Arabidopsis thaliana: one gene and its partner. The protein of the gene in region 1 interacts with the protein of each later gene in a pairwise test. Each region holds a gene or a part of one and is shown on either strand. Other genes may lie near its edges.

What was found.
Region 2: the proteins of DSK2 (region 1) and PEX12 interact in a two-hybrid assay, tested with the Arabidopsis thaliana proteins (one study listed by BioGRID).

What each region holds. Positions count from the first base shown.
Region 1 is NC_003071.7:7,481,180-7,487,251, forward strand, and holds DSK2 (ubiquitin family protein), read right to left. Parts: upstream 4,062-6,072; 5' UTR 3,912-4,061; coding exon 3,683-3,911; intron 3,571-3,682; coding exon 2,806-3,570; intron 2,512-2,805; coding exon 2,279-2,511; intron 2,203-2,278; coding exon 2,089-2,202; intron 1,909-2,088; coding exon 1,856-1,908; intron 1,464-1,855; coding exon 1,435-1,463; intron 1,263-1,434; coding exon 1,179-1,262; intron 1,103-1,178; coding exon 954-1,102; 3' UTR 702-953; downstream 1-701. Other genes in the region: AT2G17190 (ubiquitin family protein), read right to left, coding at 1-182; AT2G17210 (Tetratricopeptide repeat (TPR)-like superfamily protein), read right to left, coding at 4,219-6,072. UniProt on the Arabidopsis thaliana protein: Binds and presumably selects ubiquitin-conjugates for destruction. Prefers multiubiquitin chains rather than single ubiquitins, with a binding affinity for 'Lys-48'-linked ubiquitin chains.
Region 2 is NC_003074.8:1,184,508-1,190,061, forward strand, and holds PEX12 (peroxin-12), read left to right. Parts: upstream 1-1,976; 5' UTR 1,977-2,133; coding exon 2,134-2,241; intron 2,242-2,339; coding exon 2,340-2,445; intron 2,446-2,534; coding exon 2,535-2,683; intron 2,684-2,779; coding exon 2,780-3,029; intron 3,030-3,224; coding exon 3,225-3,334; intron 3,335-3,576; coding exon 3,577-3,651; intron 3,652-3,770; coding exon 3,771-3,857; intron 3,858-4,123; coding exon 4,124-4,431; intron 4,432-4,515; coding exon 4,516-4,534; coding exon of another isoform or gene 4,535-4,587; 3' UTR 4,588-5,001; downstream 5,002-5,554. Other genes in the region: AT3G04450 (Homeodomain-like superfamily protein), read left to right, coding at 1-385, 477-672, 765-841, 921-966, 1,109-1,169, 1,266-1,335, 1,470-1,757; AT3G04470 (Ankyrin repeat family protein), read right to left, coding at 5,334-5,554. UniProt on the Arabidopsis thaliana protein: Component of a retrotranslocation channel required for peroxisome organization by mediating export of the PEX5 receptor from peroxisomes to the cytosol, thereby promoting PEX5 recycling.

The DNA of each region.
Region 1 (6,072 bases):
ATCAAACGCTGCTGATTTGCCGGCACATCGCTGTTCTGCGCAATTAACTCTTTGAAAGACTCCACCGTGGAATCGAGGCTCGTCGTCACACTAAATTTCGTGCCATTGGAGCATCTGACGTTCACGGCAACAGCTACGCCTTCAGCAGTCAGCGGCTGCCTCGAATCTGCTTCACCACCCATTCTAATTTCAGATCCTAGTTCAACAAATCGCGAAATTGATCGGAGAATCAAAAGCTCTAAACCTAGAAGAAAAAATCGTAGAAGAAGATTTGAGGAGACTCGAAGCTCTAATAAGTCGGTTCTGAAGATTTCTTGAGGAAAGGGATATAAATTATTTTTGGTCGAATAACAAATGAGACTGCAGAAAATTAAAGAGTTATTTGGCCCCGAACGGCCAATTAAATGAGAATCCAGAAATGACTTGCGCTTCAGAGAACGTATCGACGACTCTTACTGGGTAAGATTGGGCCGGGTCGGGTCTAAATTGAGGCATTTGGTATATAGTTCAGGAAGGAATTGGCTGTAACTTGAATCTAATTGAAGATGATGAATCAACTAATTGGATATTCCTTTGCAACATGCCACTTCTCTCTTTGGGCAATTTGGTTTAACCTTTGAACCGGATCAGAAGGAACCAAAAATTTAATGGGTTCAATTTCACTTTGATGTCTATAAACATTTACAGATGTTGTATGTTGTAACAACTTGAAATAAGTTATCAAAGATAAACACCCAAGATATATAGGTTTAAGGGTAGTTAAAGACGAAGAGTGACCACTGATAACAAATACCGTATTGATGCGGCTTTTCTATCAACAAAGTTCACGATCCTATCATATATAAATTTTTATGAATTCGATGAATATATCATTACTGAAAAACACACATTCAAGCTGTTTATTCTATAACTGAGAAGCCAGATGGAGAGACATCAGTTCATGAACCTGTATGCTACTGTCCGATACTCCCCAAGAGTCGTTCTACAGCAGCGTTAACGTTACCATTGGTTGCAAGCAACGCCCTAATGTTCTCTGCTCTGTCATAGAATCCCATTTCCTGCAACTGTTGCAATTGAGTAGCGTACCGCTCTTCAGGAGGAACTGGAATCAAACAGACAAGTTTCAGTGGAACCATCACAACAGATGCGTAAGCTAAAAAAAATTTGTAGTCTCTAACCATTGGATTGGTTCGTGCCACTCAGGCCGCCAGCACCAAGACTGCCAAACATATTCATCAATAAATCCAGCCCCCCGTTATTTCCTGTCCCCATCAGTATTGTCATTCTACTATTAACTTGTATACGATACAATATCTGCTAAAATAAAACATACATGAAAGCAAAGAGAACTAAAGAGTAGCTGCTATACTACGTAACATAACTAAACCCTTTATACTACTGTAGAATAAATACATATAATATCTTTAAGAGTACCTGTGGCAGCACCAGTTTGCCCCGCATCCCTACAGAGAAGATAGATTTGGGAACATGAATGCGGATTGATGAAAATCAAAATATGGAGATTAACACACATAGCTTATGCTAAAAGGCATAATCAAAAACAAACAAAATGTTATGAGCCCTATTCAAGTGTATTCCAACGATTAAAATGCTTTATTTATAGCCTCTTTGATAGATGTTACTAGTGATCAGCCCAGTAAATCATACAAGAGTTGCTGCATTAGTCATGGTTCAATCCTTTTCTTATTATAGAGATCGTTCACAACCAATCTTTTTAGCTAGTTACAACATTGTCTAAACACTAAACAACCCAAAAAACAATATGTAAAGGACATGTAAATGCTCAACTTTGTTTAAGCAAATCCAAACAACGAAGGGTTTTAACAAAACTTACTGGCTGGCTGTATTTCTATTCTGAGATAGTGATTGCTGTAGAGTCATCATTTGCTGAAGACCAAAAAACAATAGAAAACATTAGGTTTAAGAAACTTCTTTACTTTGTCCCAAAAAAAAAAAAGAAAAGAAACTTCTTTACTTGAAAATAGCTTAGATACAAAGAAATGTTTCTTTTGAGAGACTACCATGTTAAAAATTCATATGCATACAGACAATAGGGGACAAACTAACCTGCATCATCTCCGGAGAACTAAACTGACGAAGGAAATCTGGGTTCTGCATCATTTCCCTCAACTGAGGATTCGAATCTAGCATGCTTCGGAGTTGTGGGTTAAGACTCATAAGCTGGAATCAAGGGAAAACAATTAATATATGTTCACAATGGTAAAAGGCTCTTAAGTTCAGATCATTCTAGGCCTACCTGATTCATGTATTGTGGATTGGAAAATACGCTTTGCATCATCTGCGATATGGCTGGGTTTTGCAATAACTGGCTCAATTGAGAAGCATCTGGAGTCGCACCAAGAGGTGAATCCGCTCCAAGCATACCGAGTCCACCAAGGCCTCCAAGGCTTCCAAGACCACCAAGGCCACCAAGTCCAGGGCTCCTCGCATCCCCACCAACATTTGTCCTTCCAGGGGCAGTTGTCTGACCTGTCAAGTAGCCCACAATATGTTCAATTATATTTAGTGTATTATGAGTAAATGTTAAATTAGAAACAATAAGCCAAGAAAATCATATGCAAAAACTACACATAACAACAAATTGTGGTAACTACACTAACTCACCAATTTACTATACACAATATTGTTCCTGAAGCAGAGCAGTGAACAGTAACGTCCATTTCTTATAAACAAGCCACTTTTTCATTTATAAAATATTACTGCATCCTTCAAAAGACAAATAAAATCGACAGGAGATTAGAAGATGAAAATGCAGTTACTTACCACCTGTAGCACCCCAAGGATTAGGAAGTGGATTTGCATTCGGAATAGTCCCCGTTCCAGCATTTGGTGTCGAAGAATTATTAGAAGCATCACTTCCTTGCGTAGTGACCCCCTGGTTTCCCAACAGAGCAGCAAATGGATTGGAGCCTGTATTGTTTCCAGCATTCCCGGACATAGTGGTAGCATTCATTAACGGTTCCTGGACATTTTCATACATACGCCTAAGCATGTTAAATCCCTCAGGCATAGACTCAATATTACTCATAGCCCTATCAGTATTCCGCATCATTTCACGCATAAGCTCTGGGTTTCTTGCCGCTTCTAGAGTTTGACGAAGGATGCTTGGGTCATTGAGCACATGACCAAGCTCAGGATTGCGATCTACAAGCTCACGCATTTGAGGGTTATTCATAATCATACTCCTCATAAACTCTGGGTTGTTCATAAGGTTCTGGATGGCTGGAGTATTCATCATATCTCTAATCATGTTAGGGTTTTGAGCTAGTTGTTGCTGTGTCTGCACAAGATCCGGAAGACCAGCTCCAAATAACCCAGACATAGCATTTCCACCACCCAGAGGATTAAATCCAAGCCCAGGGAACAAAGATTCCCCAGGACTCGCTCCTCCTAGATTCGAGCTATTATCTGAACCAACCCCTCGAGTAACACTAGGTGCAGTGGTTTGGCTTGCGGCCGGAGCAGGAGGTGGTGCTGAAGAAGGTGCAGAGCCTCTAACCATATGAATGGTGTGATCAGCCTGCAAACCTAGGTATAACATGTTCCACAGAGAATAGAATCCACAAGAATTTCAATCAATAAGGATCTACGAGAACAACAAAAGTACCCACACGAATAAATCAGAAACGATGAAGATTACCATAGCTGAGGAGAGTTTGATCGTCCTTGAGGATACGACCCTTGTAAATCAAGCGCTGCTGATTAGCTGGAACATCGCTGCTCTGAGCCACCAACTCTTTGAAAGACTCCACCGTTGAATCGAGACTCGTCTTCACACTAAATTTCGTGCCATTAGAGCACCTGATGTTCACAGCCACAGCTTCTCCTTCACCACTCTGCGGCTGACTTGAATCTCCCTCTCCACCCATTTCTAATTTCGGATCCTAATACTTAAAATAATCGCAGAGCTCGCGAAATCGATCAGGAGCCCTAACCCTAGAAAAATTCGATAGAGATTTAGAAGACTCAAAAGCTCTGAGTCGGTTCGGTAGATTGCTTGACGAAATGGATCGAAGAGAACAAAACAAGAAGACTTCTGCTTCAGAGAACGGATCGAAGGGACCGGGTCGGGTCAAAAACAAAACCCGGTTCGTTCCTTTTCTCACCCGGATCCGAGAATACATACGGCATCGTATAATAATATCATTTATCTGCTTCGTTGAGGCCCAAAGGGCTTTAGTTTATCGGTCCTGCAGTATCGTCTAACTTCATGCATCTATGAAGACTCTGAACGACATCATTTAATTCAGAATCACTCTGGCTTAACTTGTCTCCAGCCAAAAACCTCTTTGCCAAGTTTCCTTCACGAACCATGCTATAACCCGCAACGACCCGAACCTTTCTCTCCTTCACCAACCTCCTCATCATTGCTACATCTTCCCATGATTTTTCTGCAGCAAATGTGCTTGACGCAAGCAAGTAACCTGAAGAACACAAGGGCTCGAGTTCAAGAACCTCAGCTACTACCTCTGAGGTAATGATCAATTTTTTAAAACGGTTTCTGCAACCGCTAAGAATCGCTCCCCAAGCACTAGCCCCTGCTTTAACATCTTCTGGAAGATTCTTGATAAGTTCCACAGCCGTATCAATCTCTCCAGCTCGGCTAAGCATGTCTACAATGCAAGAGTAATGTTGCAATGAAGGTTTGTGATCTTCTTCTACCATTGATTTGAAGATCATGAGACCTTTCTTTACCAATCCTCCATGATTACAAGCTGATAAAGCTGCCAGATATGTCACAGCGTTTGGTGTGTAACCTTTTTGTTTCATTTCATCGAACAATGCTAATGCTTTATCCGGTAGACCATTAATAGCATATGCTGAAATGATCACGGTCCAAGAGATGATGTTTTTCTCAGTGATTTGATCGAAAGTCCTTCTCGCCATTTCTATGGCACCACATTTTGCGTATGCGTCAACAATAGAGGTACCAACTGAGATGTCATTGATGGCTAAGCTTCTCCGGATAGCAATCCCATGTGCCCATTTGGAAGTTCTCAAGTCCGCTGAAACTGAGCATGCGTTAAGAAGACTTATGACGGTGATAGCATTGGGCGTATCCCTCATGTGACAGAAGATTGAGATTGCTTCATCGGATCGGCCAGCATGGGCTAATCCAGAGATCATTGTGCTACATGACACCACATCCTTGTACGTCATCGAATCAAGCACGGTTCCTGCATCATCAACAAGACTGCAGCTTGTATACGCATCAATCAAAGAACTCAAAGCCACTTCGTTTGACTCATATCCACGCCGAATTATTACACCATGTATTGACTTGCAAGGCAATGGCTGCTCAAAAAACTTGCAAACCCGGAGAAGACTCACGACTGTAACTTCATCCACTTCGACCGCCTCTTGCACCATCAAATGAAACATCTCAAGAGCCTCATCGTACCTTTGATTATGTACAAACCCAGCCAAAATCGAATTCCATGAAACAATGTTTCGACAAGTGGTCTCATCAAATACTCTAAATGCTGAATCAACATCAAATCCTTTTGAATACATATCAATAAGTGAATTGCAAACAAACACATCTGCCAAATCAAAACCTCTCCGTATCGAAAACCCATGAACTGATCTTCCAACATCAATGTCCTCCATCACCGTGCAAGCCTTGAGAACACTTGTCACAGTCACACAATCAGGCTCTGTTTTCGCCTCATGAACCATCTCTTTAAACAACTTCAATCCAACAACAGGTTCCTTGCTCTGCACATAACTTCGGATTACAACACTCCAAGAAATAACATCTCTTTCAGACATTTCATCGAACAGTTTACGTGCACTTAAAGAATCACTATCTGCGTACATACACAAGATCGAATTTTGAACAGACGAAATCCCACAAAACCCACTACGGATCACATAGCCATGAATCTTCTCTCCATCGAACCATAAACTACGACACGCATGAATCACAAGAACCAATGTTGAAGTATTAGGCTCAAAACCCCAAACTCTCAACTTCGAAAACCACCATAACCCTTCTTCTTCAAAACCATAATCGAGAAGCCCAAAAAC
Region 2 (5,554 bases), on another chromosome or scaffold:
ATTCTGCAATGGTGTCTATGTTTCATCTTCCTCCCAGGCACGGCCATCTGTTTCTACCGTGCCAAGAGACAGAATTACTGTTGCTCACGTCTCTGGTGAAGGGCAGAGGCAGGAATGCCCTGTGGAAACACATTCCTTGCAATTGATCAATCAACCTCAAGAACAGAAAATTATGACTTGGTCTTCAGACCAGATTCGGGGCTTCTTCGATTTTCCTGTTCCAGATCCACAAGCAGCGAGCAGCAGAACTATGGTTTCATCCAAGGAAGTGCTTTCAAAATGCGAATGGCCAGACTGGGCGGATCAGTTGATCTCTGATGATAGTCTTGAACCAAATTGGTCGGAGCTTCTAGGTGATCCTAATGTACTCAATCTATATTCAAAGGTTCGTTTCTTTCAGCTAAATATGAATCTCTACGCTTATTTCAGCTAAATATGATTCTTCTATTAAGACTGACTCTGATAATGTCTTACAGATAGAAACACAGTCTTCTGATATAGCAAGGCAAGAGATCGTCTTTAGAAATCAGCATCAGGTGGATCCATCAATGGAGCCGTTTAATGCCAAAAGCCCACCAGCTAGTTCAATGACATCTAAGCAAAGAATGCGTTGGACACCAGAACTTCATGAAGCATTTGTCGAAGCTATCAATCAGCTCGGTGGTAGTGAACGTGCGTATGCCCTTTTTTTTTCCTTCTCATGCCTGCAAAATTTAGCTGAACAACTTATTATTATTCTCTTGGCTTATAATTTCAAACCACAGGAGCCACCCCTAAGGCTGTTTTGAAGCTCATCAATAGCCCTGGGTTGACCGTTTATCATGTCAAAAGCCATTTGCAGGTTACTATTCTCCATCTATGTTTTCGGTTTGTATGCTTACAGCTCATCTTAAACGTCTTTATATTATTGGCTTGTCCAGAAATACAGAACTGCAAGGTATAAACCAGAGCTTTCCAAAGATACAGGTACTTGAGGCATCTAAGGATTCAAACTGTCTTCTCAATATTTCACATAAGCTTATTATACTTTGGAAACATAATGGCATTTAAAAGACTCTTGTGTGATGAAACACGTCTTTATACATAATCAGCTTTTCTTCTTGGACAGAAGAACCTCTAGTAAAGAATTTGAAAACCATTGAAGATATCAAATCTCTTGACTTGAAGACGTAAGGAACATTTTACTTCTCTGTCAGAACAGACTAAGTATCACCTAGGATAATATTTCTTCATATCTAAGATTTTTTTTTTTTATTCTTCTTCAGGAGCATTGAAATCACTGAAGCTCTCCGGTTACAGATGAAAGTTCAAAAACAACTCCACGAGCAACTTGAGGTATAATAATTCAAACTGCCTAAAAGAAGCTTTTATAAAACAAAACAGTGTCCTTTCCTCTTCATTTGTCTGATTTCTTAGTTTTTGGTTTTAGCTGGTGATTTTGATCTTATATTGGTCTTAATACAATGCAGATCCAAAGATCACTGCAGTTACAAATCGAAGAACAAGGTCGGTATCTTCAGATGATGATTGAGAAACAACAGAAGATGCAAGAGAACAAAAAAGACTCTACTTCCTCATCATCAATGCCAGAAGCTGACCCTTCAGCTCCATCACCAAACCTTTCACAACCTTTCCTCCATAAAGCAACCAATTCAGAACCATCAATAACTCAGAAACTGCAGAATGGTTCTAGCACAATGGATCAAAGTGAATCTACTTCTGGGACTAGTAATAGAAAACGGGTTAGAGAAGATTAGACATCTCATGAGTATGATCCAAAGATGTTGCAAACATATGTAATTGTGTATATAAAATTGAAAATATCACAGCAGCAAGAAAATGAAAATTTCTTCTTAATGGAGATGACGTGGACAAATCACTGTCGAGTTGGAATGTTGTCGGCTGATGAGTCAGCAATTTAGATGACGTGGCTAAAGAACATCCTTATTTATGACGTAATTAATAATGATCTCTCGAAATGCGTCTTTTCTTCGTCTGTTCTATCTTCTTTACCAATTTCTGCAATTCTGGAGAAGCTAAAGGTCTCAATCTCTCAGTCAAAAACAAAAGGTCTCTCCTTTATTAAACTATCTATCACTAACTAGAAGAAGAGATTAGAGGAGGAGGAAGAAGATGTTGTTTCAGGTGGGAGGTGAAGGCACACGCCCCACCTTCTTTGAGATGGCTGCTGCTCAGCAACTTCCTGCTAGCCTTCGCGCCGCTCTCACCTATTCCCTCGGCGTATAATGCCCTTCTCTACCTACGTCTCTTTTCGATTTTGAAATTTGGTACTTATCTGTATGATTCTTATATTTGTTTGCTGTTTCGTGATTTTTTAGGTTTTTGCTTTGAGACGATCGTTTCTCCATAAGATTTTAGACTATGAGGATGAATTCTTTGCTGCTCTGATGCTTATTCTTGAAGGACACAGCTTACGAACCACAGGTAGCTTCTGGATTCTGTTTTAGGTTTTGTGTGAGAGTGTACTGGAACTTTTTTGCTTATAACAGTTAGAGGTTTGTGAATTGTTTCAGATGGTTCCTTTGCTGAATCATTGTATGGTTTAAGGAGGAAATCAGCGAGATTGAGATTGAGGAAAGACAGTGCCAGGAAGGATTCTAGCGAAGAAGTTCAACATTCTGGTTTAGAGAAGCGTCAGAGAATCCTTTCTGTTGTGTTTCTGGTACTGACTCTTTCCTAAATGCTATAACTTTGTAAATGCGTATATGTTGAAAGCATAAAGCTTATGCCTTTAAGCTTGGTTACTGCCTTTTTCTAGGTTGTGTTACCGTATTTCAAGTCAAAATTGCATGCTATATATAATAAAGAAAGAGAGGCTAGGCTCCGGGAAAGTTTATGGGGTGCAGAGGATCAAGGATTTGATGAAGCTGACTTCTTCACAGGGGATGATTCAATTGTTTCAAGAGAGCCTAGTGGGAATGAAGAGCTTTCTGTTCGAGTACAATTAGCTACCAAAATTAAAAAGTTTATAGCTGTCTGCTATCCTTGGATACATGCATCAAGTGAAGGTAATTGTGGATTTATGTGAGCATCGACATTTCGACTGCATAGTAGCTGATGATTCTTTAACATAATTACGAGCACTTCTTAGTTTACACTGATTAGCTTCGTGCGTAGACTTCTATCTCTGAGTTTCATTGGCATGGAGAATTTTATTTGATCTGTATCATTTATAATGAGCTTATATGGGATCCTCTGTGTAGGATTATCGTTCACTTACCAGCTCTTATATCTGCTGGACGCTACTGGATTTTATTCTCTTGGGCTACAAGCTCTTGGGATTCAAGTTTGTAGAGCTACAGGGCAAGAACTGGTATTAACTTCCTCCTTTCTGGTTGAAATTTCGTGTCACCATTATCTTACTATGCACCCCATAGAATTAGGGCGCTTTGGCTTTGTTGGATGGTATTATTTAAAATTCTACATACATCTTGCTGCAAGATGTTATACCATCATTGACTGACCCATAAAAACCTTTCAAAGTGGTAAATTTACATGTGTTATGTCTTAACACACTTTTTTTCTTCGTCTTTACCTTTTTTGATGCCAAGATAGATGGATACATCCTCAAGGATTTCAAAGATTCGGAATCATGAGCGTGAGAGACTTCGTGGTCCTCCATGGTTAAAAGTATGATTTCACTTTTCTTAAACTTCATGTAACCTAAGGAATGAGATAGGCTGATTCCTACTACTGCTTACACTTTAGTGATCCAACGTCTGACAGTATTGTTTTGAATATTGAATTAGACGGTGCAAGGGGCACTTCTTAGCTGCTCATATGCTGTGCTTGACTATGCCCAAACCGGTCTAATTGCAGCAGTTTTTATCTTCAAAGTAAGTATCCATAAATGTCCCAGTTTATGTTACTTCTCTTATTTCACTGTCTTAAAAGCTTCCAGCAGAAGTAGGTTCCTTTAGGAAATGAAGGTCCTAAGCTTAAATTACATTAGATTAGATTTTGTATGCTACAGCCACCGCTAAATCCATAAAGCTTATTGCTATACTTATGGCGTTTTTGACTCTCGGTAGATTTTTCATCGCATAATCATTTAGTTGAACCTAAACATCTAGCTCATTTTCGTGTGTTTTTGGTTTTGTAGATGATGGAATGGTGGTATCAATCCGCTGAAGAGAGATTATCAGCTCCAACAGTGTACCCTCCACCTCCACCTCCTCCAGCCCCAAAGGTAATCAATCAGGTAGCATTATCTGAAACTTATGTAAACATCACTCAGTCGACTTTGTCAAAGTTTTTGTTTTTCTGTAACAGATGGCCAAAGAAGGAATCCCTCTACCTCCAGACAGATCCCTCTGTGCTTTATGCTTGCAAAAACGTGCAAATCCATCAGTTGTCACTGTCTCTGGATTTGTTTTCTGCTATTCTTGCGTATTTAAGTATGTTTCAAAGGTGAGTTCTCCAAATCATTACTCTCTATTCCCAAACCCCAACCTTGGTATTAGCTTATATCCGTCTTCTATGGTAATCACACAGTACAAGCGATGTCCGGTGACATTGATTCCAGCCAGCGTTGATCAGATTAGGAGGTTGTTTCAGGACACTTAGGACCAGTCTATTTAATGGTTTTAAGCCAACAGTGAGAGTTCCATCATCGTTCTCCCATGCAAGTTAGAGTCTGAACCAGAAGAGCTAAAAGACTGCCAAGTGAGACACTAATACCCCAATTGATTTTATATATATATATGGATAAGCTTTCATTTAGAGCTCACCAAGTCTGGGATCAAGTGCTTCTTGGATTGAAAGAAAGCTGTGTTAATCCTAATCAAAGCTGATTCTGATTAAAACAGAGAAGGCAGACAAATGGTTACTTTTTTCTTTCTTAGTTTCAGCTTCGAAATTGTTGTCTATTGCACAATGGGGGATGATATTATTGTTCAGGATGGAAAAATAAAATTTATATACTGATCAAATTTATAAAGAAAAGGATGGAAGAGATGATTGGAGTTCAAACTTTCATAGCTCATTATTGAATTAGCTTTGCACTTTTGCTCCTGAACCGAAAAAGTTTTCTGATTAATGTCAAAAATTTCAAAGTCGATTCAGAAATGGTTTAGGAATGCTGGGGGAGTAAGAGGAGTCAAAATCGAACCGAATAGAAAAAAAGGATTAATCATTAAGAGAGAACAAAGATGTTTGTTAAAGGAATTTCAGAAATAACATGACATACAAGAGCAATAAACAACACTACCAAAAGCCTTTTCTCAAGGCCACAATGATGGCTCAAAAAGTGAACATCTTTGAATCCAGCCAAAGCAAAACCTGAATGCAATGATTCAGTTACTCCGGACTCATCATTCTTCGGCTACATGATTTGAACGGGTACCCGAGTCACTAGCACCAGCGGCTTTTGTAGCCGCTTGTTTCTTCCTCCTGCTCTTAGCTTTCTTAGCTTTCATTCGACGTTTCTTCTCAGCTGAATCGATCCATTTGTAATCTGAAGGTATCAAGAAAGGGTCAGCCTCGTCTTTGTAACGGTTACTATCATTGTCACTTGATTTGCCACTTCTCATCC